Linked DNA regions of Macaca mulatta. The protein of the gene in region 3 interacts with the protein of the main gene of each other region in a pairwise test. Links are inferred from orthologs where the notes say so. Each region holds a gene or a part of one and is shown on either strand. Other genes may lie near its edges. The genes, in order: TMEM43, CD207 and GRAMD2B.

Region 1 (10,353 bases), on a different chromosome or scaffold from region 3:
GCTGAGAGTGCGTGCAAGCGTGTGCTTTCCCCAGGGGAAAGGGAGTCCAGGTGCTCCTGACATTGACCAAGCTGTCTTTGTCCGGGGCAGTCGTGAGGCTCTGACTTAGTGTCTGCCCCTGGGAAGCCAGGTTACCATGTGAGCCGGGCCCAGGTCAGGGTCATCGCCGCTCAGTCCAGCATAGGAAAAGGAGACGCGCAAGTCTCCCACCTGGGGGTGGAAGAGAAGCAGGGAGAGTGAGGCAGGGAGTAGCTGACCTAGGCCCAGGTCCAGGATGCCTCGGCCACGCCCCTCAGGCTCTTCTCCCACCTCCACACCCGTGCCCAGGCTGTGCTGTCGCCCAGAAGGCCTCTCCCACTTCAGCTGCACTTGGCCAAGTGCAGCTGTGCATGCAACTGAACTGAATCTGCCTGGTGCAGGAACCTGATCCTAGGGCCCCGACCCTCCTATTTGGAGAGCCCAAGCCTCTCCGCATACCTCCGGATACTTGGGATTTTCGCTGTGGTAGAAAAAGTCTCCACGGCGAATGATGTCCACGTGAGGGTCCTCCAGCTTAGACAGGCTCAGGGGCTTGAAGTTGTCAACTTTGTCGATGAGGCCTGAGGGGACCAGAGTGGTTAGAAACCCAGTGGACTAGGTGAAAACCTCAATCTGCAAAGTCCCTGGCCTGACCCCCTTCCCCCGCGCCCTTGAAGCCTGCACACGTGGCGCTCCCGCCTCCGGTGCCTCTTTCTGATCTGTCTCGTCCACGGCTTCCCCTGGGTTAGACCATCTCCTCCAGGAAGCTTTCCCTGTGCCCTCTCCCACCAAGTCAGAGTGACCACAGCACTGGGAGTGGCCTTAGCCCTTTTCCCTTCCATCAAGGTTACGGCCATCCACGTCCAAGCCTGACTTGCCTCCTGGGTTGAGAGCTACTTGAGGGCAGGCCCAGCTGGCACAGCAGGCACCATCCAGCAACAAAGCAGACCCAGGCCAGGCTCAGGATCCCCCAGCCTCCCCAGGGCTATCTGGACCCTTGGTATCTTCTCCCACCTTCACGGGTCAGGCCCAGGAACAGACCCCAGGGTTACTCCGGCCCATGGTGCCGGCCCATGGAAGTTCCCTGGAGCTTCCTACCCTCTTGCCTAGACCCCTGCCAGCCTGTCGTGCCCCACCCACCGCTGTCAGATATCTCTTGCATGGACTTTACACCCCTCACTAGCCCCTCCCAGAGCATTCCATCCCCTGACCATCTTACTGGCACAGCCCAGACCATTGCTGAACAAGGCCTGCTCTCTAGCCACACACTCTCCGGCCCACCTTATCCCTTGCAAGCTTCTCTTTGGAGTCAATGGGGGGTGCCTGTGATGAGCTAGTGACTTCCTGGCACAGGTGGGACTCAGAGGCGGAGGCCTAGACCGAGAGCACTGAGTCGCCCCATGTCTACTACTAGCCGGAGTCTGCTTGAGGAAGGAGTCTGCTTGAGGAAGGAAGGCAGACACCGGCACGCAGCAGGGTGAGGATGCATGCCTGAGTCATTCTCTGGAACAACCCAGGTTTCAGAGGAACCTGGTAGGATGGAGTGGGGAGGGGGTTTCTACATTAGCCCTTGCTCCCTGGGGATTCGCCTTCCCCTGGCCGCCCAAAGCATGGTGGTGGGAAAGGTATAGACTGATCCTGTGCCTTTAGCCATCTGAAGGCTGAGTGCTGGGAGCTCCGGCTGTGGGAGGGGCCTTGTGCTTCTGGCACAAGCTCCTCTGGAGAGGTCTGAGACTTACCTGGCGAGAGGAAAAATCTGCCAATTTGGACAAAGGGGGCTGTTGCCGTGAATGACTCCACTGCCATGGCACTGTGGGAGAGAGGAAGCTGTCAAGAGATGGGCACCAGTGTTGGAGCTGCCTGGGTCCCTTTGGGTTGTTTGTGCTGGGCAGGGTCCCCACCTGGGGGTTCCTGCAAGTCCAGATTAGCCCAGGCACAGCAGACATCTTTTCTTGTCCACCCCCAGGGCCCTTGTGCCCCCTCCCCCGGGCTGAGTGCCCTCACTCTGTCTCCTGTTCCCTGGAGCTTCCTACCCTCTTGCCTAGACCCCTGCCAGCCTGTCGTGCCCCACCCACCGCTGTCAGATATCTCTTGCATGGACTTTACACCCCTCACTAGCCCCTCCCAGAGCATTCCATCCCCTGACCATCTTACTGGCACAGCCCAGACCATTGCTGAACAAGGCCTGCTCTCTAGCCACACACAAGTGTTATGCCCACCTCACCACTGGCATGCCACGGAGCTAACCTCCCTCTGCTGAAATCCTGAGAAGCCTCAACAAATGCTGCTGCCTCTGGAAAGCCTGTCCTAATTGTCCTCCTACCCATGGCAAACCATTAACAAAATGCTTGCCTGGCTCCGTGTGTGCAAATCCCCTTAGATGCTTAGTGCAGGCCGTACATTTGTGACCTGTTTGTGGGGAGCTCGTTGGGGGTCAGGGGAGACGGGTCTCTGTGTTCCTGGTGCCCAGCACAGGGCTTGGTCTCAAAACCATGTCCCACATTTTCAACCCATGGAGCAGGATTAACTCAATCCTGTTATTCAGATAAAGAAACTGAGGCTGGAGACCTGTCAGTATAGACAAGGCTGCATTCAGGCCTGGGGCCTGGCTCTCACCTGGGGTTTTTGTGGCCAATCTCTCGGTCGAAGTTTTTGCTGTTGATGATTTCTGACCTCCATTCGGTGTCTGCTCGGGGAGAGGAAACAACTCAGAGCCTGGGTAGGAGTGGCACGTGGCTGATACCCACCAGCCCAGCTCCTCCCATCTCCCAGCCAAAGGGGTGGGTCAGGGAGCCTCACTGGATGGGTGGGAGAGCAGGACTCTGAAGACTGGCACCCAGGGATTCTGATGCCTGGTGCTGAATCCTTCTCATGGCCCAACTCACAGCCCTGCTGTCCAGCCACTGCTGTGGGCCCCCACCATGGGTAGAGACCACGTGAGGGGCCCAGTACTCACTGTAGGAGTACCTCGTCTCCTTCTTCACCTGCCCATCCTCAGTGTACTCCCTGCAGGGAAAGCAAGGCAGCCATGGGGGTTAGCCTCGTCGCCCTGGACGGTCTAACCTCTAAGCATCTGAGCCAGAAGCAACCTCAGGGCTACCAGATGCAGACTCCCCAGATGGGGGCAGATGCCTTCTCTACATCAGCCCCAAGATAGGGCACTCCCTCCTGACAGCCAGCCAGCTCCCGCCCTCGAAGGCGCTGCCTGGAGGAAAGCGCGCTCCCATCCTGAGCTGAAATCTACCCCCACTGGCCTTACACCACCAAGGGGCCCAGCTCTGCCCTTTGGGCTCAGAGATCTGGTTGCACCCTCTGCTCCGGGACAGCCCTGCGGGGGCTCCTGAAGCTGCCCTTCTCCTGCTCCTCCCGCCACCTCCCCACCCATCGGTCACAGTCCATGTGATTCAGGTGGGGCTCCAGGTGACCCCAGCCCTGGTCAATGAGAACCTGCCCCGGGACTCCTGTCAGAAATGATAAGTTGTAAGTGGAGAGAAGATGGGACCAACACAGCTGATGGGAAGGCGGAACACAGAGAGATGCAGTGGGGTCTCGGGGGTGACATGCTGATCCCATGACAGTGTTTCACGCCTGCTCCAAGTCATGCTTCAAGCTTGTGCATCTCTGGAACTTCCCAGATGTGGGAGTGACTCGATCCCCTTTTCCTCTTGGAGCCACTCTTCACTGGGTTGTTGCCACTTCCAAATCACTGGCTATTAATTTGGGGATAATTTCACACTTTTCTGATAGGAAGATGTTATCCTTGAATTTCAAAGGCATCAAAATGAAAGGTATCTGCATGTTATCCTGACACCTACACCTCACTCCTCCTTTACCCCAACAGAGTTTTCAGCCCCTGGCGCCTCACCTGGACTCCTCAGTTTCTACCCACTGGTACATCTCCACGTGCCTCCGCAGTTTCACAGCCGGAAGATGAACCCCATAGTTTGGATCAGACAAAAGCTTCAAACAGAATCAAAGAAACCAAAAAAATAAAAGATAAGATTCATGTCAGCCCAGAAAGCCTGGCTGAGGGGAAGCTGGACTGGAAGAGGAAGAAATAGAGAAGGGGACAAGGGTGGAGAGCCCTAGGCTGCTTTGCAGGGGAGGATCAAGGACACTGCCTATCCCAAGTTCTTCACACATAGCGCCCGTGACCCTCACAGTACAGGCCTGGGCTGCATGGCCCAATGGCATGGTGCCAACAGCGTACAGGGTGTTCAAATAACACGAAAGCTCTGGTGCCCAGGGTTGTTTTGTGGCTTTGCACTGGTCACACACGGTCATCACAATCATGAGAGCACCTCCTTGAGTGCCACCCTCTGTATCAAGATGTTAGTTATCTCATCTCACCAAATCCTCAAGGCTGGCCACAAGCTTGTTACTATTACCATCCCCATTTTATACATGAAGACACTGAGACTCAGGATAGACAAGTCCACACAGCTGCTGAGCGGTGGAGTCGGGAATCACACTCACGTGTGACCATCTCCAAGGCCCATGCTTTCAAATCCTCAGCCAGACAACATCCAGGATGAGCCCCGAGCCACTGGCAGGTCAGCATCCCCTGCCAAGCCTACCTTGGATGTCCGCAGGGCGCCAATGATATGCACCAGCCTTCCTTCATTCTCTGGCGCCACACTGTGGATGCTGTCAGGGGACACGACAAGCGAGAGCCCCTCGGCCAACGAGGTTGCCGTCTTCAACGCACGGCCCTGGGAGCAAAGGGGAGTGGGAATTTCAACAACTCAGGGGTGGCTCAACATGACTGTGCTTGTTGCAAAGTATCAGGGTAGGATGGGGCCTCAGGGAGCACTGAGACCCATCTCCCCACTGTACAGTTGGAAAACTGAGGTCTAGCAAGTGGAGAGTAAGGACTGGAACCCAGATTCCTGCTTTCCCAGGCAGACTTCTTCCCACTGCCCCACTGGTTCCCACTAGCCCCCACCAGTCTTAGCACTGCCCCAGTGGTGAGAACAGCTGGCGTTTCTGCTTGCCTGTCTCTTTCTCCCCATTTTTCTCTGCCTTCTTTTTCTTAATTTTATTTTTATGTTTAAATTTTTTGTAGATATGGGGTCTTGCTATGTTGCCCAGGTTGCTTTTGAACTTCTGGCCTCAAGCAATCCTCCCTCCTTGGCCTCCCGAAGTGCTGGGGTTATAGGCCTGAGCCACCATGCCTGGCTCTCCTCTCCCCTACTCAGTCCATGTGGTTTACCTAGGTAGATCTGAACCCCTGTTCAAATCATGTGACCCAGACCTTGCCAATCAGAACATGTGAGTGACCCCTGGCCACGGAGACTGATTCAGAGGACTGACAGCCAAGCCAGGACACTGAGAGATTGCCCTGTAACTGTTGCTAAATTGATTTAGAAATATGCTGTTGCATCATGAGGTCTTATTTTAAAAAAAGGAAAAAAAGAAAGAGAGAGGAGAGAGAGACAGAGAGAGAGGAGAGAGAGAGAGAGAAAAAAAAAGAGAAAAAGAAAGAAAGAAGAGAGAGAGGAAGGAAGGAAAGAAGGGAGGAAGGGAGGGAAGGGAAAGAAGGGATGGAAGGGAAGGAAGGGAAGGAAGATAAACAAATGGTTTTTCTCTTCCCTGGGCTAAGTGGGGGAGGAAGGGAGGGAAGGGAAAGAAGGGATGGAAGGGAAGGAAGGGAAGGAAGATAAACAAATGGTTTTTCTCTTCCCTGGGCTAAGTGGTTGGATGTAAGCCAGTTGCTGGGGCCACATTTACCATCACAGAGGAAGTGCCTGCCCAAGAAATACACCATAATAGAGAAAAACAGGCTAAAGATGAAGAAATGGAGACTCCTGGTGACCCAGCATGAACACCTGGATCCAACTACGCCTGAGGCAGGTGCTAAGCCCTGGATTTTCGGGTGTGTGAACTGATCTACTCCTTTTCCTGCTCACATCAGCTGTGGGATGCATCACAATGCAAAGAACTGTGATTAACTCAGTATCCTTCTTTCTCTTTTGTAAAATCTAGGCCCTTTATTACCAGCCTCTGGGTTCATAGCCTTTGCTCTCTGACATGGTAGGGACTCTCACTCTGCACAGGAAGACGCCAGACATTTTACCTCATTGGTGAAAATTAGGTAGAAGGAGAGCAGGAAGGTCATGAGCCCCACGACCATCCCACCCGAGGTCTCGCTCAGCCGCTCCAGGAAGCCTGGCTGGGAGCCGGTTGTAACTTTGACATGTTCTCTCCGGGTACTGGTACTGGAATACTGAAGAAAAAGAAACATAGTCACAGAAGGAAAATTAGTTTTTTAAAAATAAATGAAATTTGCTATTTATTTATACTCAGTTTTTTTTGTTTTGTTTTTAGTTTTAACTGTATGTGGTAAAAACACACAGATACTCAATGTGCAGTTTGGCTAGGTACAAAATATTTCCATCTCCCCAAAAAGTTTCTTTGTGCCCCTTTCCTGCCAACTCTCCCCCTCTCCACCAACCAGAGGTAACTGGTAGGGATGGGGAGAATCTGAATTTGAATTTCTCCCACTGTAGATTAGTTTTGTTTCTTCTAGAACTTGAGAAAAATGGAATCAGGGCACCAACTCCTTTCTGCCCAGCTTCTTGGACTCAGAGCACTGCTTTTGCAATTCGTCCACGTTGTGGTGTTTATCAGGAGTTTGTTCCTTTTCAGGGCTGAGTAGTATTCCATTTATGACTATACCACAATGTGCTGAATCATTCGTCAGTGGATGGGTATCTTGGCAGCTTCCAGGTTTTGGCTATTATGAATAACGCTGCTGTGAACATTCATACATGAACCTTTATGCAGACGTGTGCTTTCATCTCCTGTAGGAATATACCTAGGAGTACAACTGCTGGCTCACAGAGAAGATGTGTGTTTATGAAACTGCCAGGCTATTTTACAAAGAGGTTATTAGAGAGGTATTTTTAATTAAATTCAGCAAACAGTGGCTGAGCTTTCTGAGGGCAGTGCTAGCCCTTGTGGGGTCAGAAGTAGACAGTCTTAGGGCAGTGAGGTCACAACCATAAACAATACTAGAAGGTCATACAGAGTGTCTTGTGAGAGGGGTGGACTCAGTGCTCAAGGAGTGACCCCTTCCAGCTGGGGTATCAAGGCAGGCTCCCTGGAGGAGGGGGCATTTGAGTGGAATCTTAGAGACAGACCTTAGGGGAAGAGCATCCCTAAAGGGAGAACCATGTCAGCAGTGATGAAGAAGTAGGAAGTGGTCCTGGGGGAGCAGCTGCCTATCTGCTTTGGCTGGGTTGTGGGAGGGATGGAGGAAGAAAGGGCTTGGAGCTAGGCATTTCTGGGCAGGTTCACAGTGGGCCTCAAACTCAAGGGTGAGTGGATCAGGCTTTGGTCAATAACACAGGCATGATTTGGGGTGCATCCACTGCTGATCAAAAGCGTCATCGTCTAGGGCAGGATTCTGGAGCCAGAAGAACTGGGTTTGAATCTATGCTGTGCCACACACCAGCTACAGGGTCTTGGGCAAAAGCAATTTCACCACTTTGTGCTTTCCATTTCCTCTGTGCATAGGGTTGTGGTGAGAAGCAAAGAACATAGTTATTGGGGGGCTCAGGGCCGAGGCCTTGGTAAGCACTCTACACATGTTAGCTAGTGGGAATGTTACCAGATTTCTCTACAACTGATAGTGGGCTGGCACCAGGCTGGGAGTGAGCTGACAAAAGTCACAAAGATATAAAGTGGGGCCCAGCTAAGACAGTGCCCCATCCTGGCACTAGGGGCCAGAGGAGTGATTTGAGTCAGAGTCTCTGCTTGGACAAAGCTGATGTCACGTTCTGATTGTCTTTGAATATCACCAGCCAAGGCCTCCAGTGACCAGATGTCCATGAATCCAGAAGTCATCTTGACTTTCTATACCATTTGGAAACATTAAGGGAGGGAATCACCACAGGCAGGCAGGTGACCATCATAATGATGACAATGGCAAACACGCCGGTCTATCACAGGCCAGCCCACACGCAAGCCCAAAGAGCTGGATGCCATAACCACCCCATTTCACTGATAAGAAAATCGGGCTTGGGTTAAGTCATCTTCCCAGATCACACAGTTTCTAAGAGGAAGAGTTAGGATTCACATCTGGGCAGACTGGAGACTACTCTCCTATTACTCATTCCAGTCTGTGCTCCCCAGCTCTTGGGCTACAATGTGAGTTGAATGTTGGGTGCCGGCTGCAGGCAGCAACAGGAAAAGGAGGCGTGGCTTCCTCTTGGGCGTCCCCTCAGCCAGCATCAAGATAAGGGGCTCAAAGACAGCCTTGGAGGGAAGGAAGAGAGGTACAGGAGGGTGCCCCTCAGGCTAGGGGAGGGATGAGGTAGGCAGTGACATGACATACCCAGCCCACATTCTGAACCAAAATTCCCAGTAAACATGGAGGATCATAAAGGATCTATATATACACACATATTTATATATACATATATATTACATGTATACACACAAATGTAAACACACACACACACAGACATCCCCAGTGACACATCCCCTCCCAGTCCCAGCACTCAGGACTCAGAAGAAATGAGCAATGAGTGGTGGGAACAGAGGCTGACACATAAGCCCTGGAAATGAACAGAACTGGGTTCGATGCCCAGGTTCACCAATCACTTGCTGTGAAGCCTGGGTAAATTGCTCTACCTCTCTGATTCTGTTTACTCACTTATAAAGTAGAGAGGGGAATAGTACCTTCACCATCGGTACTGCTGCTGCTATACTGATTGAGAATTCTGTTGCCTCCCTACTCCATCCCACTATCTTCTTCCTCACCCAGCCTAGTGGCTGCTGTAAATGTATACCCAGCTACTGGATGAATCAACAAATGCTTGGCAGCAGAGGATACTCAAATGCATGTATGTTCCTTGGTGAGGGGCCAGGTCTCAATGTACCCAAGACGATCTCTATTCACTGGGACCATCTGTGCTCCCCTCTGCAATGACAGGCTAGTTTTCAAGTATTAGGTACCTACGACACACCAGGCACTGTGCTAAGCAGTCTCCCTTAAATGTCACAGTAACTGATCCATGAGGCTACATAAACCTGGAGAGATGAAAGCCACACATCTACTGGGTGGAAGAATCTGGATTGCCCCCAGGTCTCCCTAACTCCAAAGCCTGCCCTTTGCAGCATGCCAAGCTGGCCACAAGAGTTTGGGCAGGTGCCTTCCCCTGCTGGGGAAGTTCACCATCTGTAAAATATGGTGGTGGTGGTGATGGGAGCAGACAGAGTCCACATACTACAAACAGGCTGGTCTCCTGTCTGCCCTCTCTCCTGGCCGAGCCTGAGTCTCTCGGAATACCTCTGAGGCCTTTCTAGGTACACCATTCAAGGCTTCTAACCCTCCTGTGGGCCCAAAGTGTCCTGGGAGTGTAGATGATACTAACCCGAGACAGAGTGTACTAGGACTGTGGGTGATGCACACCCTGGCCTCTCAAGGGGTGTGGGAGGCAGAGAGGACGCTTGGGGACAGAGGCGGCGTCTGGAAATAGGGTGTGACAGGCAAGGGGAGAGCTGCTAGGACACTCTACCAAAGCAGGAGGGAGGGTGTGTCTGGGGCTGGCTGGGCTCCTAAGCAGGCCCTAGAAGCACTTTCACAGAGGAGGGGAGAAGTGAGTCACCAGCTTCTCCCACATCCAGCGCCCTGGTAGGAGGCGCTGCTTGGTGTGCTGAATGAATGTTGGGCTTAAATAGTTTCCCGAGAAAGGCTAGTTGCAGGGAGAAGAGGCCTTGAAGGAACAGCCCTCAGCCAGGCCTTCTCCAACCAAATCCTTGCTAGGAGGAGGAGGGGCCCCGACAGTAGAGAAATGCTCCCTCTCCCCCTAACTCCTTCGCTCCCAGCCCAGCCTAAGCTTTTTGCAGCATCACAGCCTCGGTTTACACAGCCTCCCTAGAGCGGGGAGCTCTCTGCCCGCCTGGACAGCCCTATCCGTCCATTGCTGGACAGCTCCACTTGGGCTGGGTCGCCTTCCTCCCTCCCAAGGGAATGGCCCCCTCTCTGAGCTCCCGTCCAGCTCTCATAATGCGCAACCTTGGGACGGCTTCAGGGCCCCAAGATACAGGAGGGAACTAGGAATGCAAGGAGGAGCCGCGGAGAGGCGTACAAGCAGATCGTAGTGCGGGAGCAACACCTCCGAGTCCGCCTCCGCACGAACGCCGAGGACTAGGCGGACCAAAGAACACGGACAAAAGAAGTCTGGACGGTTCGAGAGATTAACAGAGGGATGAGCTGGCGAAGGCACCGACACGGCGCGCAGAGGGAGATGCGGGCCCAGCCGCAGGGAGGAGCTCCAGACGGCGAAACGGACCCAGAGGGCCCCGGGGAAGAGCCCCAGGGCGACG
Region 2 (10,916 bases), on a different chromosome or scaffold from region 3:
ATCTCCAAGAACAGAGCTATTCCCACTGCAAACACAGCCAGCTGCCAGCTGCCAGCACAGCTAAGCAGACACGTGGAAATTCTAGAGGGTTTGGCCAAGAAAAGCCCTGAATGACAATATCAGCAGAATTGCTTGGTTGCTCTGAAATAACTTTGATGTGATGAAGCTGAGGCTTCTCTGAAGAAGTGGAAAACCCCAGGTGTTGTCCCGGATTACGGGTCTTAATCCTCCTTAGCAGGGCAATTGGAACTTCTAAATCCTCTCTACCCACCCCTCCCACTTTAACCTGAGTTCTCCTTTCCATTCCAGCTGCCTCCATGGGGTCAGAGAATTTCCAGCCAAGACAGATGGACTCCAGAATGCCACTGTGGGACAATTTTGAAGCAAGAAAAATTAACGTGCAAAGTCCTCCTGGAGTCTGGGGGAGAAAGAGGCATTTCCTCATGTTTGACAAGCGTTGGAGTTCAAAGAGTGAGCTTGGGAGCCTGTTCTGTCACGGTTCTGACGGGATGTAGGGTCGCTTACAGATGAAAAGAAACGTTTTGTCACATTGGGCATCATTCCAGGCCTGAAGCGAGGAAACCCTTATATTGCCACAGTGTTCATTGTTCCCAGCATTGTTGGGCTCACCTGGGATCCAGAACCTACCAAGAGGGAGAAATAAGGATGGATTTACAAAGTGGAAAACCAAGAAGAACTTATTTCCAGTGAAGAAATGAGTTAACTCAACCCCAGCTTGAGTCCTAGGGAATGGCATAGTAAATGTCTGCACCCAAGCCTAAGAGGAAGGGGACTAGCGGGACTTAGACCTCTAAGCTTTCACTCACGCCCCAAGTCCAGGCAAAACCAACCCACCACTCTCAAGTCCCTACACAAACCCACACTGTGAAGACCTAGACTCATGACAGGATCCCTGCTGAAGCCGGCCAGGTAGAAGGCCTTGCTGCCACACCCCAGAGGGCGTGGAGGGCCCAGATCCCACAGCCAGTTAGTGACAGGATTGCGCTAGATCTTGGTTGCAATGCTCCTGTCACCCTAGCACAGGGAAGAATCAGAAACCCTGTCTCATGGGGAATATCGCCCCAACTCCCTTCATGCCCTGGCCATGGCCGGGGAAAGTCAGGCTGGCAGGGAGGGCTCCAGGGACTTACTTCGCACTTTGGACCTTGTCGAATGGCGTGTCATCCACCCAGAACCAGTCCCCTTGCATCCCTGCTTTAGTCAGGCCAATCCAGTAGGTGAGTCCCCCCGCTGTTTTATACAGAAACTCCTATAGGAAAGACAGGTTAAGCAGAGGTGCGGTCACACTCCGAGCTTGATCACCTGTCTCTGGGTGTTCTTCACCTGTGCTCACTGACAGCCCTGACCCACAGATGCACTGCACACTGGCCTCTCAAGCCTCTTCCTGCCCTTGCCCAGAGCCCAGATTTCATCTTCCAGATTATGATGTGTCCCTGCCCTGCAGCTAACAGGCTCAGGACTTAAGCATTTCTGCCACTCAGGAAGCAGGTGCTGAAGCACAGGAAGGCCTCAGCTGAACTCCAGAGCATGGACCGCAAGAGAATGGTTCATATGACAACACCTGAATCCACATGCGGCACTGTGCTGAGTCCTCCATATGCATTCACTCCTTTCCTCTGAGGCAGGTGCCATCACCATGCATGTTTCAGCACGTGAGGGCCAGTGAAGTTTGCCCAGTGAAGTTGGGTATTCCACCCAAGCTGCTAGGACTAGTTAGTTGGCAAGGTTAGGGCTCTAGAACTACTCCAGAGCCCAGGCTCTGACCTGAGCTGCTATCCCACCGCCCAGATGAAAAGGGCCTGCCCAATTTCTGCCTCACCAGGCAGGAGACTTCTTGAGTCACGTGGAATCATTAATGCTGTTCACAAATATTTCTTTTTTTCTGGGCACATGGAAAGTAGCTCCTCTCTGCCCTGTTCCAGGAGTACTGGAATCCAGGATCCTCCCAGTCCAGGAGTACTGCATCACTTACTTAACTTACTTAATGTAACTTACGCCAGTGAAATGTAAGCAAAAATGAGGTATGTTAAATCTGGGCAGAAGCTTTGCACAATATGTCAAGTTCCCTTTTCCTGCCCCAGCAATTGTGGAAACATGTTCAGATAAAGACTCCTTCGGCCTGGGTCCTTGAGTAGCCATAGTGAGCACAGCCCCCTTGCTGGCCCTTATTGGACATAGTACTGAGAACTCCTTCTTCATTAGGTCATCAATATTTGGGGATTTTTGTTCGCACAGTATAATCTTGCCCATCCTCCCGGGCCCAGTGCTCATATGCCCCCTTCCCAGAGCCCACAGGCACAACACTCACCTGCTCACTCTCTGAGGTCACCGAGGTCAGGTGTGAATTCCTGGACACACAGAACTGCTGGGCACTATACCAGGTCTTTGTGACGAGAGAAAAGTAATAGAAGTTCCCCTTGAAGTACTTCCAGCCTTGAGAAACCACCTGTAGAATGTCATCTAGAGAACAAGAGGTAAAAGTGAATACTGGTATTCTTGATTTCTTGGGGTGCTGGCTTGGTGGGGGCACTTGAATGAGGTCTCAGAGACAGCAGCAAATGGAGCTGTGCTCTGGTGTCCTTGGCTCCTTGTGTAGGGGATTTGGGACACTCTTTCAAATCCTGAAAGTCAGACAGAGACTAATAGAGTGTCTGGGACTGGAGAGGTTAGAATGCAAGAGGATGGACAAAGAGTGTCTTTCCCATGAGGGGAAGCAACCCTCCATCGGCCATGACAAGTGGCTGAGCCCCTGGACTCTAGAAAGGAACTTGATGAGAAATGACTAGGTATGGGCCAGGGTGGACAGCCCCTAATGCTTTTACATTCTGCACTTTGGTGTGGGAACTCTAGCTGGACCGTGGTCTCTTTTCTCCTAACTGCGCCTAAGTCCTTCCCAACCTCAAGCCCTCCCTCCTTAACTTCCTAGTCCATGGCTGCCCCTCTCTTCCCCCCGGCCTCCTCCCTAACCCACCAGCCCAGTGACCTCAGGTCTGGGACAGGTAAGATCCCATGGGCCGCTGGTCAGCTTCAATGTAATTTTCTGAGTCACTTACTTTGTCGTTTGAGCAACTTGCTCATATTGTCCAAGCTGCCCTGGAGTGCCCGGATCTTTGTATTCAAAGCACTGGCTTTCTCCAAATCACTTTTTAACTCTGGGATTTGGGCATTTAAGGTACCGACTTCTTCCCAACTTCTTGTTAAGATCTGGATCTGTGCGTTGGCCTTCTCCACACTGGTTTTTAACTTCAGGAACTGAGAACGCACATAACCCAGGCTCACATTCACCGTCTGGATCTGAACGCCAGCTGCCTCCATGCCATCGCTATTCTTTTTAATTTCAGAATCCAAGGTGCTGATGTTGTCCACACGACCTTTCAGCAACTGGACATTGGTCTTTACATCTGATATGTTGCCCATAAACCGGGGATCTGGGATTGAGAAAGTCAGGAGGTCAGCTGAGGGGAGCCCCAGGGACAGGAGTGGGGCTGTTGTCAGGTCGATCAAAGGAAGGGAAGAGAAGGAACAGGCTGAAGCTTCCCAAAGAACCAGGACAGTCCAATGGGCCACCCCAACCCTCCAATCATTCATTAAGATACAACAAATGTGCAATGGGCACCTACCATGTGCTAGGAACACAGGTGGATACAGACAATGGGGAGATGGATGAAACACAGGCTCTCTGTGAGAAAATTTCACAGGCAAGCAGAAGCAGGGGTTAGAAACCAGTCCTGAAATTTCTCTGAGTGTTCATGGAACATTTGATAAAGGGGTGCCCTCCATGAGCCCCATCACTCTCCCCAGAACTTGATTCCCCCTGGACCCCACCCCTTGGTTGCCATCCCTCTGCTTTCAGAAACCCCTGCAGTGGCTGTCTGCTAGGACAGCACCACTCCCTCACATCTGTCCATGGGCCCCTCTGTGACCATGGGAAGAGCCAGCCACTAATCTGGAAGTGGCTTCTTCTCCAGAGAACATGGAAAAGGAGATTACAAAACTGTTTCTCCCCTTCCCTTGCCCTACCCACTTTCACATTCTGCTCAGGTCCCAGGCCTGGGTACCAGAGAGAGGATCAAAGATAAACCAAGAGGCTCAAAGGTGAGCCCTGAGGAAAATGCCATGCTAGAGGCCAGGGGTCTAGGATGGGGGAAGGGGGACTCTGCTCAGAGCCTACAAGTCTAAGACCAAGTATGTCCCGAGGCCACAGAGGGAGAAAACCAAACCCAACAGCTTCTCGGGTCCCCTTGCTCCGCTTGCTGGAGCCCTGGCAGGAGGAAGAAGGCTCTGCCAGCAGCAAAGGGCATGAAGCCTGACAGAGCCAGAAGAGGAAGAAAGATAAACCCCGCAACACCAAATGAGTAGGAAGGCTCCCTAGACATGATTTTTGCAGGGACAGGAGAATGAAGAGAGCACGAACGGGTCCTGTTGAGGGGACTGAGTCATGGAGATCTGTTGGCTCGTTGGTCAGGCTCTCCATCTGGTGAGTTGGGGCCAATGACACATGAGGCTTAGTCCTTCACAGGGTCAGGAGACATTGCACTGTCAGGGACTGTCCACAAGGCTCCAAATCCAAGGAGCAGAGCTCAGATTGGTGGGGGATGGAGGGAGAGAAAATAGCACAGCATGAAAAACTAGATAAATGTTTCCTGAGGACAAAAGAATGTATCCTTGAGCACCAATGTGCAAATGCTGATCCCAATAATCTCCCAGAAATTGGGAGGGAAAGAGCATCAGCTCACCGTACTGGGGGCGGCACACCCTGTTACTGCACATGGAAAGAGGAGAAAGGAGACAAATGAAAGTCAGAGGCAGGAGAAACCTGGAGAGCAGGGAAGTGGTCTGGATCTGGAGGGAGCCAGCTGGCCACAGAGAGGGGCTAAGCCCAGACGATGAAACATGAGGACTTACAAAGGACAGCCTGCAGCAGGATGGAGGCGACCAGGACCAGCGTCAGGCAGATTAATGCAGCACGGACTGTGGGTGTTTTCCCCGGGAACAGAGATGGACCAGACTTGGGAGGAGGCTCTGTTGGAAAAAGAAGAAAATGTGTGTTGAAGGAGTAGCAAAGGGCAGGTTTGCACACAGAACACGGAGCAGGTTCTCAGCAGTGACTGTGGCTTGCCTCGGGGCCAGAGGGAGATGTTCTGTTTGTCCACAGTGAAGTGTGCATCAGGGACCTCCCTCTCGGCCGTCATCCTGAGTGCTCACCCTTACCCTGGAAGCACAAGTGCTTCTGGCTGCCTGTCTCTCCAAGGGCTCTTATCTAGAGGAAACAGGAAGTCAGTCCCACACTAGGTCACCATATCATCCCAACTTCCCTATTCCTGACTAGATACCTTGTCTGGCTTACTCCCCTCCTCAGAAGTCTGAGCTTTCAGAAAGAGGCCATCTGTTGTCTTCTCTGGGAGTCTGTTACATAGATACATTAACCATCTTGCCCCAAAGCTATCCCATTTCTCTTGTAAGATTCTCTTCACCCATCCACCCATCCATTCACCCCACAAATACGGACTGAGTGCCTTCTAGGTACTGATGCTGTACCAGGCATAGGGCCACAGCGATGAATAACTCACAGTCCTTGCACCAAGCAGCTCACAGTCTGGTGGGAAAGACAGACATGAGCAAATAAATTGCACAAGAGACAGATGTGCCCAGTTGAAAGAAGCGTGTGAAATGGAATAATGGGAAAAAAACTGCAGTAGAAAGATAAGCATATGCCAAAGGATGGAGCTTAAGATAGCATGGAGTGCTTGGCAAACTGAAAATAGTGGCAATATTGCTGGAACATAAAATATACACAAAAATGTGAGGAAGGGGACTCACATAGGGTGGAAGAGGCACCTGGGGTCTGATTATGAAGATCCTTCTGATCATGTCAAGGAGCTTCACCTCTAGCTCGTGGGTGACATGAGGCCAATTAAGGACTTCAGGCAGGAGAGAGACAAGGACAGGGACACTGTAAAAACATCACTCTGATCGTGGTGAGGAGCACAGACTGGTTGGGGGAAGCCAGGAAGCAACCATTGCAATAGAATATTCTGCTTCCCGTTATTAGCGCATCTTGGCTGATACAATATTCCTTTATAATATGCAACTTGGAGATTCAAAATGTAAACCTAAGACTTGAGTTCTCCTCCCTGCTTCCTGTAGCATGTGAGCTTTTCAAACAAAGTAGGGGTGCTCAGCAACGTCAGACTAGGAATCTTTCTGTTTCTCTCTCCTCTCTCTCTGTCCACAACTTCCTCTCTCCTTGCTTGTAACCCTGAATAGAGAGTTCCATATGTGCAAGAAGCTCAGGGCACAGAGGAGCCTATTTGGAGCTCAGTGAAGGACTACATTTTCTCCTGGGTGACTTCTCATGCTTTGAAGAAGTCTGCCAAATCTGAGAAATTTGGCACATGGCAGACTCTATAAAAATATTTCTTGGAATGTAGGAAACAGGAGAGGAAAGAGGGAGGGAAGGAAAGAAAAAAGAAGGAGGTTGGTCCAGATAATTGGAGGATGGGTGAATGGATGAATGAATGGATGGAGGATGCATGGACGGATGGGTGAATGGTAAGTGACTGGGAGACTTGATAGCTAATCATGCCACTCTGATGTTTACACAGTCTGTGGCCTGGGATCTGCCTTCTAGAAGCTACTGCTTCTTTCCGCTATCTCCAGAAGTTCTCATTCATCTTCAAAGCAAAAGCATAAGGGGAAGTGTGATTTATTCCTTACTCAGGAATGAACAAAAGCTCTGGCCGCAGGACAAGAAAGCTGTCCTGGGCCTGCTGAGGCTGAGCCAGTAGAGCTGGATGACAGGCTGTATCAGGGACCAGGGTTAGAGGTTAAGCTAGCAGGGCCAAGGAAATATCTACCTATGCTTTCAGGGGCTCCTGCTGCCTTTGGTACTTGGGAGGATGGTGGCTGCACGCTCAGCCCGTGCCCATGTGCAGCTCATTGTAGTTACAGGCCCTCGATGCTCTCTCTCTCCAGTTAACCAGGCCTCAGGCTGGAGTCACTTCTCAGACTGGATGAGGGAACCCAGAGGGGACCCCACACTGGGAAGCTCTGGGAAGGAAGCCGGGTAACAAAGATGGTGTCTCATTTGTTCTGTCTCATTGCTTCCCTACCTGCTGTCTGCTCTAAATTTTGATGTTCGATAGTCCCAAACCTCAGGGTCTGGCTCCACCTCACTGCCTGCCTCTGAACGCCCATGAAGATTCCCACTCTCTTCAGGTGGCTCGTGTGGTTGCAGAGCGTTGGTTCTGTCAGGGCTTAGACAGGATTAGAATGTTCCACTTCTGGACTCTCATGCTCAGGACCCAGCCCAACTCCAGAGCCATCTCTGCCCTTCTGCTCCTGACTCCTGGCCCTTCATCCACAGCCTGTCCTATTTCTGGGCCTGGGGATAGAGAAGAATCCAAATTACTTAAGACCCTGGTAGAAGAGGCCTTGCAGGGGTCCTGGTCTCCTCCTGCAGCATTTGAAGGAAAGAAGCTGCCACACAACATGCCTTGGGAGTGTCTTGTCCCTTTCCCCTAGGTCAAAAAGTTGGGTTTTCTCTGCTGGTTTGTGGCATGAGTTATTCTTTATAGAGCCCCCAGACGCCCTCTCAGTGGTCCCAGGAAAGGATAAGGAAGCCTCAGCAGGCTGGGCCCATGGCATAGGAAGAGGCTGCGCCGATGGCATAGGAAGGGGCTGGGGCAGGGAGCATTTAGTCCAAGTGATGGAAATGGAGGCTCAGGTAGGTAGAATACTGAGAGGCGAAAGGATGATCCAGCATGAGGAAGCTGAGCAAAGGCATGGAATCCTGGGTTGTGGGCCCTCTGGGGTTTCAGAGGACATGGATGTAAAAGTCCCAAACCATAAGAAGTTTCATTTCCCACTTTGTGGAGAGGGAGGGAGTCACGAGCCGTCTTCCTATAAGCATGCTCATCTGCAGGTATTTCCTGAGTATCTCTCCTGTGCAAATCTCTGGATGCTCTATCTGGCACCTGGCCTGACAGGAGAAAAGACAGAGAAGCAGGCAGGTGCCTTGGCCACACTTGCCAGTCAGGAAGGCGGGCGGCTCTCCTGGGCACTCAGGCTTCTGAACCCTCCTCTTCCAAACAGAAGAGGAGCTCTGATCAGACCTAGTGACCAAAAAAATCACTTCTGTGGTGAGAATGGGAAGTCTGTGCTCATTTCTTTCATTTCTCCTCTTCCTGTGCTCCTGGGGTTCTAATACTTTCTCTGGACAAGGACAGAGGAAGAAAACAGCTTGGCCACTTTTTCCCTTTCTCTTGTTGGGACTATGGTTGGGACCAGCCTTATGCTTGGAGGAGGACCATGGACTTAATCAGCAAGACTGGAACAGAGACCTGGGTTGTTTGAAATGCTCCAGCAGTGCCGAGAGTCATCTCCCGGGAGGAGTCACCCGAGTCCCTCAGTCAAGTCATGGAGGAAACTAGAGTGAACACCGAACTGCGGAGTGGGGACAGGGAAGGAGAAGCGAGGGAGGAGGGAGAATGACTCTGAAATGAGAGGGGATTACAGCTGGTCACACCTGGCTTGCAGGCCTCAGAGGGACTCCTGTGATGCAATGGGGGGATTTGGCCCACAAAAAATCAAGGGATTCCATGCCACCCTCTGGACATGTGCCCTGGGCACAGGGGATAGGGCAGAGAAACCAAGGAGCATAGGTGGCATCACTTACTCCTCTAGAGTCCTGCTGTGCCCTAGGTACCAAGACACAGCAAGGAAAAAGACAACTACAGACCCCGCCCTCAGGAATGGTTTTCCTGTTGTTGAAAAAATATGACATCCTTAATGCTGGGGAGAAGGGAAGTCTCCCAAGACTAAAAATGACTGACAACACTATAGGGACCTCCCCATGTCTCCCTGGACCCTGATAATGGGTTCCTTTTTTATGACATTGTATAAGGATAAGTCTCTTTGGAACAGTGACAATGAGCCAGACCCTACCGATCAGGGTATTTCACCCAGTGCCATCATAAATAGTGTGATATGTAAATGGGCTGGCAACCTAGCCACATGGAAGAGCTGCTGTGTACCCGGCAGAGAAGGCTGCTCCAAATTACATTGTAGGTCAAAGAACTCATGCCTATAGCTTTAGTGAGAGGGGCAAATCTATGTTAGGAAAGTAATGAAAGGCTTTTAGGAAAAAAAATGTGCAGTTTCTTTTAAAATCTTTTATTTATTATATAACTAATGATATTAATTATAGAAAAAATCCAAGTAGGAAAAAAAACCCACCATAGGCTGGGCGCAGTGGCTCACATCTGTAATCCCAGCACTTTGGGAGGCCAAGGTGGGCAGATCACCTGCGGTCAGGAGTTTGAGACCAGCCTAGCCAACATAAACCCGTCTCTACTAAAAATACAAAAATTAGCTAGGCATGGTGGTGTGTGCCTATAGTCCCAGCTACTCGGGAGGCTGAGGCAGGAGAATCACTTGAACCCAGAAGGCAGATATTGCAGTGAGCTGAGTTCATGCCACTGAACTCCAGCCTGGGTGAGTGAGACTCTGTCTCAAAAAAGGAAAAAAAGAAAGAAAAGAAAAAAAGAAACCCACCATAGAGACAACAAATGTTATACCCATAGTTCAGTTTTCCTTACCACCCATGTATATACATATACACATCTATATCTATAGCCATAGCTATGTCTAATCGTAACTATGGATATATTATATACATATTTAACAAGACAATTCCTGCTTATTTTCCCTAGCATCCTTCCCCACCTCTCCTGCATTTCTTTTTTGTTTTGTTTTGTTTGAGATAGAGTCTCACTCTGTTGCCCAGGCTGGAGTGCAGTGGTGTGATCTCAGCTCACTGTAACCTCCACCTCCAGAGTTCAAGCAATTCTCCTGCCTCAGCCTCCCATGTAGCTGGGACTACAGGCGCCCGCCACCACATTTGGCTAATTTTTTGTATTTTTAGTAGAGATGGGGTTTCACCATGTTAATCAGGATGGCCTCAATCTGCTGACCTCATGATCCACCCACCTCGGCCTCCCAAAGTGCTGGGATTACAGGCGTGAGCCACTACACCTGGCCTCTCCTGAATTTCTGATACCAAAAATCCCTCTCCACTGGGAAACTTTTTTCAGTTTGTGATTCAAATGGGGCTGCTGATTCCAGGCATAGAAGTGACAGCTCACAATGATGGCTGCCCAAGGTTTGGGTAGGAAGGTAGCTCTCCTCTCTCCCTAAACTGAGGGCCCTAAAGATATGACTATAGGGCAGCTAGTAACCAGTTCCTCTGTCATGTGGAAGACCTCAGTAGAATAAGACCAGCACAGAGACAGAAGCTGTAACAAAAAAACGAAGAGACAAAAAGTGAGTCCTGGTGCTTTTGAGTGCTGGATCCTGTTGAACCTGAGTTCCATTCCCCACAGACACTCTGTTTCTTGGTTTGGTTATATGAACATAAACAAAAACAAAAATCTCTTATTTTCATTTGAATTTAATTGGATGGGTTTCTGTTTCTTGCAACCAAAGAGTTCTGTCCAATGCATTAGGTAAGCACATAAATTTTTTTTACAAAACTAGAACTCTACCCTATAGTGTGTAAGGTTTTGTTTTTGTTTTTTTGGGTTTTTTTTTTTTTTTGCTTAGTAATGTATTATGGATAACCTTAAAATCAAACTTACATCTTCATAATAACTTTTATTTTTAGTTCATGCTCTACTGTAACTTTGTTTTCACTTTTTATATTTAATACATTTGGATTTCATGATATCCCATTTTTTTCTTATCTCTTATTGTCTTGTTCGAGTATTCCATGATTTTAGAAAGGAATCTAACTTATTTATTTCTAAATGGGTAGCCTGCTGTGCTGATACCATTTTTTAAAACAATGCATAATTTTATTTCTGACTATGAAGTACCATCTTCATCATGTGTTTCAT
Region 3 (10,353 bases):
GACCTATAATACAAAGGGAGGAAAGGGAACATGAAGAGCAGTCATAAGGTGAAACATGGGGACCCTTTAAAAGTTACAAATAGGCCAGGTGTGGTGGCTCACGCCTGTAATCCCAGCATTTTGGGAGGCCAAGGAGGGTGGATCACAAGGTCAGGAGTTCGAGACTAGCCTGACCAACATGGTGAAACCCTGTCTCTACTAAAAATACAAAAATTAGCGGGGCATTAGCCGGCTCAGGAGGCTGAGGCATGAGAATCACTTGAACCCAAGAGTCAGAGGTTGCAGTGAGCCGAGATTGTGTCATTGCACTACAGCAGCCTCGGTGACAGAGCAAGACGCTGTCTAAAAAAGAAAAAAAGTTACAACCAGACGTCTCCAACCCTTCTAAAAAACCCCCTCACAAGACCTCCATTCCTTACCCTGTGCAGGGAGACTCTTGGCTTTTCCTTCAGGTACTCTGTTCACATGGGCATCTGCCCGAGTTGGCTTTGCTTCTCCCTTGGAGACATTCAGAACTGTTTGGGATTCTGTCACATGGAAATCTACTAAGCCAAAACGGAGCTGGGTAAGTTTTCTCTCCAATGTATTTAAAACAGGATTAATCACCAAGTAAATCAATCCCTCAACATGCATGATGGTCAAGAACATGAATGGATCATCTCACAAGTTAGTTGTGGTGGCTGGGGGCTGAAACTGAATGCTTAAGCAAATAAGTAATAAAGTGATATAAGGATAGTCTTTCATTTTCCAACTAACTCACATAGATAATTTGGCTATAACAATTAAAAATATTATTGAAATAAGAGGGAAGAAAATAGGCCAGGCGCGGTGGCTCACACTTGTAATCCCAGCACTTTGGGAGGCCAAGGTGGGTGGACCACGAGGTCAGGAGTTCGAGACCAGCCTGATGAACATGGTGAAACCCCATCTCTACTATAAACATACAAAAATTAGCCGGGCTTGGTGGCACATGTCTGTAATCCCAGCTACTCGGGAGGCTGAGACAGAAGAATCGGTTGAACCCGGGAGGTGGAGGTTGCAGGAGCCAAGATCGTGCCATTGCACTTAGGCCTGGGCAACAGAGAAAGACTCCGTCTCAAACAAACAAACAAAAACAAAAAAAAGAGGGAAGAAAATATTATGTTTTTCTCTCTCAACTACCCCAATATTAGGTCTATTTAAGAGACCTCTGTTAAATATGCATAAAAGGAAACGAATTTTTACCACATAGGCAATTCTTTTCCCTCAAACTCTCAAGGCATCCTTTCTCCAGATTCCATTCCTGATTTTTAGCTAGGAAGACAATGTGGCTTTTTTTTTCTTTCTTTTCTTTTCTTTCTTTCATTCTTTTTTTTTTTTAAGGGGGTTGGGTGAGGATGTTTTGCGGGGAATTAAATTTTAGTCAAAATACAACAATTTCCCAAACCTCGAGAGTTCTCAGATTCAGGAGTTTGAGAACCAGAACTGCTGTATCCTTCCATGTCTTGCCTTCTTTGTTGAACCACTCCATCCAGATCTGAGAATTCATCATTGAAATCCTGAAAGGAAACAGTGAAATGAAGACAGGCTGATTTTCCCTTAGTAAACAGGCAGGCCTTTGTACCTCCCAGCCCTTTCACCTAGGCCTGACCTATAAAACACAGAACAGAAGGAAGGATTACCCCATATGATTGGGATTTTCCCAACAGATCACCGAGTGTCTGGTTACTGAAACAGATTTTTCAGGCAGTTAAAATTCTGTCAACAAACAGTGGCCAACTTGTTTAAAACAACAAATGTCTGGAAAAACACCCAGAATGCCAATAATTGAGAAGCATCCAGTGTGAAGCTGAAGAGGTTTCATTAGCACTTTGAAATGAGAAAACCTGATTACTATACACATATATAAGAGCAAAAATAGAAAGCTTTAAATCCAAGTTCAAATATGTAGACAGAGAGAAAGATACTACTAGATTATAGTTTTTTTTTTTTTTTATTTTAAAAAAGTATTGGAAACAGAAAAGGAAAAATGGCTTTAGCAAATTAGGCCCTGAAAATAAAGTTTAAGCTTTTTTTATTCCCTCAACTAAATCAAAACAGGGTTAGTGCTAGTACATTTACATTTTAGAAAGATGATGGAGGAGTAAGGGAAAAAGCACAGGCGTTCTACTTTGTATTCTATTGGTTCCCCAAAGTGCTTAAGAACGGAAGAGACAAATGGTGTCATTAAAATGTCCTGGCAAAGGTACAATTAGGCTGAGCTTTTAACAATTTAGTCAGCTGCCAGATGAAGAAGAGACTCATCTTGTAAGCAAATTACCAACCTTTCACCTTGAACTAGCTGTCTTTTGTTCATCTCAACACTCATTTCGATTTCATACAAGGATTTATAGGAGAAGGAAGATTGAAAATTTCTTCAATTTAATGATTTCTTGAATGCCTATCTTGTATCAGGCAGTATGCAAAGCTCCTTACATACATGATTGCATTTAATCTTCACAGCCATATCATGAAGCTGGCATTTTAATGGATGAAGAAACTGAGTCAAAGCAGTTACAGAGCTTGCCTGATGATATAACATAGCTGGGTGGAGCCCAGATTTAAAACCAGGTTTCTTGGATTCCAAATCATATGTGTTACATTATATTTTGTGCTGCTTCCCACTACTGTTTTTCAAGGTAGATTTTTAAGAAATTGAGATAAAATTCAGGTAACATAAAATCCACCATTTAAAAGTATACAATTTAGTGGTGTTTAGAATATTCACAATGTTGTACAACCATGGCTACAATCTTGTTCTGAAATATTTCCATCACCCCCCAAAGAAAGCCCATACCCATTAGCAGTCACTTTCAATTTCTCCCTCACCCCATTCTCTGGCAACCACTAGTTTACTTTCTGTCCCTATGGATTTGCCTGTTCAAGATATTTCATATAAAGGTAATCATAGAGTATGTGGCCTTTTTGAGTCTGGCTTCTTTCACTTAGCATGCTGCTTTCAAGGTCCATCCATGTTGCTATATTGTTGCTGGTATCAGTACTTCATTTCCCTCTTTTTTTTTTAGATGGAGTCTCATTGCACCATCCTCCAGGCTGGAGTGCAATGGGGCGATCTCAGCCCACTGCAACCTCTGCCTTCCAGGTTCAAGCAATTCTCCTGCCTCAGTCTCCTGAGTAGCTGGGATTATGGGCACCCGCCACTAGGCCCAGCTAATTTTTTGTATTTTTTAGTAGAGACAGGGTTTCACTATGTTGGCCAGGCTGGTCTCGAACTCCTGACCTCACGATCTGCCCACCTCAGCCTCCCAAAGTGCTGGGATTACAGGCGTGAGCCACCACGCCCAGCCCTTAATTTCCTTTTTATGGTTGAATAATATCCCATTGTATGGGTATTTAAAAAATTTATTAATCAGTTGATGGACATTAGGCTTTTCCCCACCTTTTGGCTATTACGAATAACGCTATTAACATTCTTGTACAAGTGTTTGTGTGAATACGCTTTCAGTCCCATTACTTTTAAACTGTTCTCAAAAAAAGATTTGTGGGAGATGTTGAAACCATGGGCTCATATTGCTTCATTAATGTTGAATATTTATAATCATTTGAATGATATGGCTGGAACTCTCTTGGGAAAACATTATAACCATTATGGGTACAAATCTTACACAAACAGAGGGAGCTACTTCCCACTGGAGATTTACTCTACAGTTTACAAAGTCTAAGGGAATGAATCAATCTTTACCTGTCACTTGGGCTTTATAGCTTTCTTTTCTTTTCTTTCTTTTTTTTTTTTTTTTTTTTTTTTAGACTGAGTCTGGCTCTGTCGCCCAGGCTGGAGTGCAGTGGCCGGATCTCAGCTCACTGCAAGCTCCGCCTCCCGGGTTTACGCCATTCTCCTGCCTCAGCCTCCCGAGTAGCTGGGACCACAGGCGCCCGCCACTTCGCCCGGCTAGTTTTTTTGTATTTTTTAGTAGAGATGGGGTTTCACCGTGTTAGCCAGGATGGTCTCGATCTCCTGACCTCGTGATCCGCCTGTCTCGGCCTCCCAAAGTGCTGGGATTACAGGCTTGAGCCACCGCGCCCGGCCTTTTTTTTTTTTTTTAACAGTTAATTCTGAGCATGTTTGTCTTCTCTTCTAAGTTGTGAAGTCTCTGAAGGCATGAATTAGTTTTAATTTTTCCTGGTATCCTACAGCGTGCACTAGCATGGTGCCTTGAACACAGAAGACATTTAAGGATTTGTGGGATGACTCAGTCCTACCTCAAATAGATGTGTGAATCCCTCTAAACCAATATTGACAGGCAAACAGAGCAAGACTTTATGAATGCCTTCACTGACCAGTAACTCACCAAGACAGTCTACTAGGTGTTTCCTTCTTTTTGCAGGACAACTCTTCAATTACTTGGAAAAAGTTTATGGCTACTATGGTTTCCTCTTCTTCAAGACAGATATGCCCTGTTTCTTCAACTGTACCTCAAATATTTTGGTCCTAAGCTCTTCCCACACCCTGGTCATGGTGTAAGCACAAGTGTAACTGTGGGACATATTCCCTTTCTTTTGCATTTAGATAGTTATGTAGGCAACTTACCAGAGGCAGAGATGACGGGCGGTCTGCTCGGAAACTGTTTTCAGCAGAAGATGGATTGGGACTGTTACCAACACTTGTATTCTGAAATTATTGGAACAAAGCGAAAAACCAGATTAACAATGAAACCATAAGAAATACAGAAGAGAGATAGTAATTGAGGCTCAGGGACATCATACTCACTTCTAAGTGTCCACACACAGATTTTAGTAGTTTGTAAGTTGAATCTCTGGAGAGTAAGGAGACAAACATGTACTGAAAAACAAAACAGGATAATTATGAATAGATATTACCTGATGAGAAGTGAGAGTTGAGAGTTCAGAAAAGTATCTGTATACAGCTTTTTCACTTTCAAACAACATGGACCGCTCTTTGATCTACATTCTCCTCTCACCCAAATATTCCATTTTTATTCCATTTCTGGAATAAAGCAAACATTCTCCCATAAAAACAACAAAATTTTCAAACCCAATTTAAGAGTAATCAATACATGTAGGGCAAAATGAAGGCTCCAAAAGCCTGTCATTGGTGCCACAAACAAGCCCAGAGAAGAAAAGGCCTGGACATTAAAAAAAGGCTAGTGACATTCACTAGATCCCCTTTAAAATCTCTCTCCCTCTGTTTTTGTTGTTAAGGGTATTTAACAATTCCCGAGGGTCCGCCTTCTCTGCTCTGACCTAGATTTCCACTGAAAAATTCCCAGTGGCTCTAATAGGCTAGCTCTCTTTCATGCCACTTCCAGATTCTTCCTTGTACAAATATGGAGATTTTCGAGTGGAGACTTATAAGTGAGCCATGGGAAAGAAGTAAAATAGAAGCTAGACGAATCATGTGAAGACAAATGACATGAGGAAAAATGATTTTACCATAAACAATATGTTCAGAAAATATAAAAATCTACTTTTTTTCCCATCTATTTATGTCATAGAATGTTTTCAGACCTCCTTTCCATGAGTTTGCGATTATCCTTCTCATTTACCAATGAGGGAACTTGAATTATTTCCAAGCAAGTACTATATTCCAAAGTAATTAATATTGTGGGTTCTGGCATCAGGCAGATCCAGTTGCAAATTCTGGCTCTGACACTTACTAAGTGGGTGACATTGGGAAAACTGCTTAACCCCTCTAACTTTCAGTTTTCTTAATAACAGTTATCCATTACAGGGTGGTAGCAAGAAAATATAAGAAAAGCATTAGTGTATGGCCTGACAAGGAGGAAATACTGATGAGTGTTGGCTATTAGTATTTTTAAAAGATCCCCAAATAGATATTAACATATCTTCTAGCTTATCAGAATGGTCTCTTTTATCTTTCCTTCTTTCTTCTTCTCTCTACAAGTTTTCTAGTATGGTTAGAAAGGAAATCTATAGCCAGTCACGTTGGTTCATGCCTGTAATCCCAACACTCTGGGAGGCTGAGGCCGGGGATCACTTGAGCCCAGGAATTTGAGACCAGCCCTTGGCAACATAGCAAGACCCCATCTCTATTAAAAAAAAAGAAAAAAGAAGAAAGGAAAAAGGAGAAATGAAATCTATAGAATGTAGATTTTATGCTTTCATAGAAATAATAGGTAACAGATTAAAAAAATTTCACGTGAAAAGTAACCACTCCACTCCCTCTTTCTTGCCAAGCTGAAATAAACACCACTTTAATGTAAATGTTTCTGATCGCACATGTCTGGGGTAGCACAATAGTCAATTCAGCTCTGGAATTTCTATGTAGAAGGTAGTTCAGGCAACCTGTTAGTAAAGCAGGTCTAAAAACTGATCCTGCACCTGCAGTTGCAGAGCAGGTGCAAGTTTTATTTATCTGGAATGGCTCTAGGGAGGTATTGACTGAGGTTATGGGGAGGCTGGCCACCCCCACACCAGGAACTCCTCACTATCAACCTGCTTGCCTCACCCTGTCAGTAAGGTGGTGTTTTGTTGTTATTCTTTATATATATTTATTACTGTTTTGAGACAGGCTCGCTCTGTCACCCAGGCTGGAGTGAGTGGTGCTCGATCTCAGCTCAGTGCAACCTTTGTCTCCTAGTCTCAAACAATCCTCCCACCTCAGCCTCCCCAGTAGCTGAGATCACAGGTGTGTGCCACCACACCCAGCTAATTTTTGTATTTTTTTGAAGACAGAGGGTTTCGCCATGTTGCCCAGGCTGGTCTTGAACTCCTGGACTCAAGCGATCCACCTGTTTGGGCCTCCCAAAGTGCTGGGATTACAGGTGTGAGCCACTATGCCTGGTCTTGTTCTTGTTCTTTTTCTTGGAGACAGGGTCTCGCTCTGTTGCCCAGGCTGGAGGGCAGTGGCACAATCATGGCTCACTGCAGCCTTTACCTCTTGGGCTCAAGTGATCCTCCTACCTCAGCCTCCCAAGTAGCTGGGATCACAGGCACACACCACCACACCTGGCTAATTTTTATATTTTTTGTAGAGATGGGGTTTCACCATGTTGCCCAGGCTGGTCCCCAACTCCTGGGCTCAAGCAATTCTCTCACCTCAGCCCTTAGCCTCCCAAAGTGCTGGGATTAAAGGCCTGGCCTCCCTTTTTTTTTTTTTTTTTTTTAAGTTTTTTTCTTCTTTAAGACTATTAAAGGAACTGAATATACCAGTTTAGCCTGATCTAGCAGATGTTAGCCTGACCTAGCTGAAGTTGAGACAGCATTTTATTTTTTTGACCTTGGTCAGGCAAGTATAATTAAGTCAGCAGGAAATTCAAAATTGGCAACACTTCTATGAGAATAAATCACCTTGTGAAGGGAAACAGCACTACATGAATGTCTACAGGCTATAATTTTTAAAATTAGTCTTATAGAATTTTCCTGATTCACCAAAGGAGATGATGATATTTATGGTTTGGAGTCTTGGTCCTTGGCAAGAGGGCCCTCAGGCAGCAGAGCCCAGAGCAGGAGGACAGAGCGAAGGTGCCCTCGCTCCGCTGCATACTCACCCTGTCTGTGACCGTCGCTATGATGAGGGCGTTTGGCACTAGAAGAGCAGTTTTGGTTTTCTTTATTAGGGTTACTGAGAAAGCTGGAATAGAGATCTGAAACAGAATCAGCAAGTTAATGCCAGTTCAGACTTGACAGAACAGCACTTCGAATCTTCACATTAAAGGGAAAAAAAAAAAGTAAACAGAAATCAAAACCAGCAGCAAGCTCCCCAGCCTCCATGAAGAAAAGTCAATCTTACAGAGTGGCAGGGATGTGTCACTGAGCTCCTCAAAATGGTGCTTACTGAGCCGGAGGATAAATCTGAATCATCGATTGGACTGAAGATCTTGGTGGGAAACCTTTATCTTCAGACATGAAAATAGAATGCAAAATGTATATTCATTTTAAAGATAAGCCCAAGGCTCTAAAGAAATTTCAAGCTTCTGGTCATCCACTTTGGGCTAACTTCCACATGCCCCACTCTCCTCTGTCTTTAGGTGCACGTTGGGGGGAAAATGTTAAAAAGCACTGGTATAATAGGACCATCACTGGAGAGAAAACTTGGGACCTGAATTCTTGGCTCAGTTCTTTTTTTTTTTTTTGAGACAGAGTCTCGCTCTGTCGCCCAGGCTGGAGTTCAGTGACACGATCTCAGCTACCTGCAAGCTCCATCTCCCAGGTTCACGCCATTCTCCTGCCTCAGCCTCTCGAGTAGCTGGGACTATAGGTGCCCACCACCATGCTCCGGCTAATTTTTAAATATTTTCTGTAGAGACGGGGTTTCACCGTGTTAGGCAGGATGGTCTGGAACTCCTGATCTTGTGATCTGCCCACCTCGGCCTCCCAACTTGGCTTAGTTCTGTTACTACAGGTTGAGCATCCTTAATCTGAAAATCAGAAATCTAAACTATTCCAAAATCCAAAAGTTTTTGAATGCTGATATTGATGGTCAAAGGAAATGCTCACTGGAGCATTTCAGATTTTGGATTTTTGGATTAGGAATGCTCAGCCAGTTATATATTGGCAGACATTGCAAAATCTGAAATCCAAAACACTTCTGGTCCCAAGCATTTTGGATAGGGGATACTCATCCTGTATCTACATGACCTACTCCCCCGTGTAAGCCATCTGTTCTAGGCCTCAGTTTCTTGATTTATAAATTGGAGATAGTCTCATCTACTTCTCAGGATTTTCTGTGGATTAAGTAAGATAATATATGCAAAATGCCCAGAGATGAATAAAAATTTCATTTACCTCCTCACTTGTTTATGAAATCAGGATGGGTGAAATAAAATATTTTTTAATACTAAATACTTTTCTGGTTCAACAAAGAATAACAACAACAGTAACTATAGAAGCTACGATTATTGATACCTATTTACCAGATAGAATTTAATTATGATGATCCTACATAGTCAATATTTTAAGAAATAAAGAAATTTATTTAGAGAGGTGCATATCATACATAAGAAGTTACAAAGATGGAACTCAAGCCAGTCTGATTCAAAATGTGGGTTCTTTTCAATACAATGTGCTATAAGAATGTATCAAATGGCACAAAGAACAGAAGTTCATGATAATTTATGTTATACCTCTCCAACCAAATTTGATCTCAAAGGAAAATGGATCGCCATTACTTTAATCCCTGAAAACAGAACATCTACTTCTTGAAAATGCCTCACATATTCTCAAAAGTGGAGAAGAGATGGGCTTTATGTAAGTACTGCCAGCTTGAAGGAAGCAAGCACAATGAGCTTTTTTTTTTTTTTTTTTTTTTAAGATGGAGTTTTGCTCTTGTTGCCCAGGCTAGAGTGCAGTGGTGCGATCTCAGCTCACGGCAACCTCCTTCTCCCAGGTTCAAGTGATTCTCCTGCCTCAGCCTCCTGAGAAGCTGGGATTACAGGCATGTGCCACCACGCCCGGCTAATTTTTTTTTTTGAGAGGGAGTTTTGTTCTTGTTGCCCAGGCTGGAGCGCAGTGGTGCGATCGCGGCTCACCGCAACCTCAACCTCCCAGGTTCAAAGGATTCTCCTGCCTCAGCCTCCTGAGTAGCTAGGATAACAGGCATGTGCCACCATGCCTGGCTAATTTTGTATTTTTAGTAGAGACGGGGTTTCTCTATGTTGGTCAGGCTGGTCTCAAACTACTGACCTCAGGTGATCTGCCCACCTCAGCCTCCCAATGTGCTGAGATTACAGGTGTGAACCACCACGCCCAGCCACACCCAGCTAATTTTGTATTTTTAGTAGAGACGGGATTTCTCCATGTTGGCCAGGCTGGTCTTGAACTCCCAACCTCAGGCGATCCACCCGCATCAGCCTCCCAAAGTGCTGGGATCACAGGTGTGAGCCACCGTGCCTGACCACAAAATGAGCTTTTAATTTTGAATATTTGCATTTACATCTGGGTTTATGAGATGGGCTTATTTATTGCCCTCAATGATCTAGGCAGGAAGACTATGGAAGAACAAGGGATAATCCAATTGAGACATTTTCTAAAAACTGTTTGCCAAAGAACTCCACTCACAATATTTTTCAAAGGCAGGAGGCAATTCAGAACTTACAAGTTGGGATAAATTTGGAAAAAAAGAATTTGAGATCTACTTAGATCATAATTTAAAAAAAATGAGTCTAATTTTGTTTCTGAGCAGCAATACAAACACACAGTGGCAAAGGGCTATAAATTTAGATTTTTCATAATCTAAGGCATGGAACACCCTTAAGAAAGTTTTCAATTGCTTCATGAGTATAAAATTACAACCAGATAACATTTGTAAAATAAAGCTTAAATCACTTTTCAGTTTGAGCCTAGACAGAATGTGATACATGCATGCTAATTTTACTAGCATCTGAAAATACCAAC

What was found.
Region 1: the proteins of GRAMD2B (region 3) and TMEM43 interact in binary tests that used the Homo sapiens proteins (3 or more experiments, as listed by UniProt). The two-hybrid records come from large-scale screens. The link is inferred for Macaca mulatta from reciprocal best matches to the Homo sapiens genes GRAMD2B and TMEM43.
Region 2: the proteins of GRAMD2B (region 3) and CD207 interact in binary tests that used the Homo sapiens proteins (3 or more experiments, as listed by UniProt). The two-hybrid records come from large-scale screens. The link is inferred for Macaca mulatta from reciprocal best matches to the Homo sapiens genes GRAMD2B and CD207.

Annotation. Positions count from the first base shown.
Region 1 is NC_133407.1:152,928,069-152,938,421, reverse strand, and holds part of TMEM43 (transmembrane protein 43), read right to left. Parts: intron 6,245-10,353; coding exon 6,095-6,244; intron 4,731-6,094; coding exon 4,596-4,730; intron 4,014-4,595; exon of another isoform or gene 3,979-4,013; coding exon 3,884-3,978; exon of another isoform or gene 3,860-3,883; intron 3,025-3,859; coding exon 2,975-3,024; intron 2,708-2,974; coding exon of another isoform or gene 2,705-2,707; coding exon 2,635-2,704; intron 1,829-2,634; coding exon 1,758-1,828; intron 1,496-1,757; exon of another isoform or gene 1,359-1,495; intron 600-1,358; coding exon 478-599; intron 211-477; coding exon 136-210; intron 1-135. UniProt on the Homo sapiens protein: May have an important role in maintaining nuclear envelope structure by organizing protein complexes at the inner nuclear membrane. Required for retaining emerin at the inner nuclear membrane.
Region 2 is NC_133418.1:53,869,351-53,880,266, reverse strand, and holds the start of CD207 (C-type lectin domain family 4 member K), read right to left. Parts: upstream 5,267-10,916; 5' UTR 5,214-5,266; coding exon 5,141-5,213; intron 5,044-5,140; coding exon 4,927-5,043; intron 3,450-4,926; coding exon 3,075-3,449; intron 2,482-3,074; coding exon 2,330-2,481; intron 1,271-2,329; coding exon 1,152-1,270; intron 645-1,151; coding exon 494-644; 3' UTR 1-493. UniProt on the Homo sapiens protein: Calcium-dependent lectin displaying mannose-binding specificity. Induces the formation of Birbeck granules (BGs); is a potent regulator of membrane superimposition and zippering.
Region 3 is NC_133411.1:135,417,686-135,428,038, reverse strand, and holds part of GRAMD2B (GRAM domain-containing protein 2B), read right to left. Parts: intron 7,605-10,353; coding exon 7,509-7,604; intron 4,820-7,508; coding exon 4,748-4,819; intron 4,649-4,747; coding exon 4,568-4,648; intron 1,539-4,567; coding exon 1,427-1,538; intron 546-1,426; coding exon of another isoform or gene 543-545; coding exon 420-542; intron 1-419.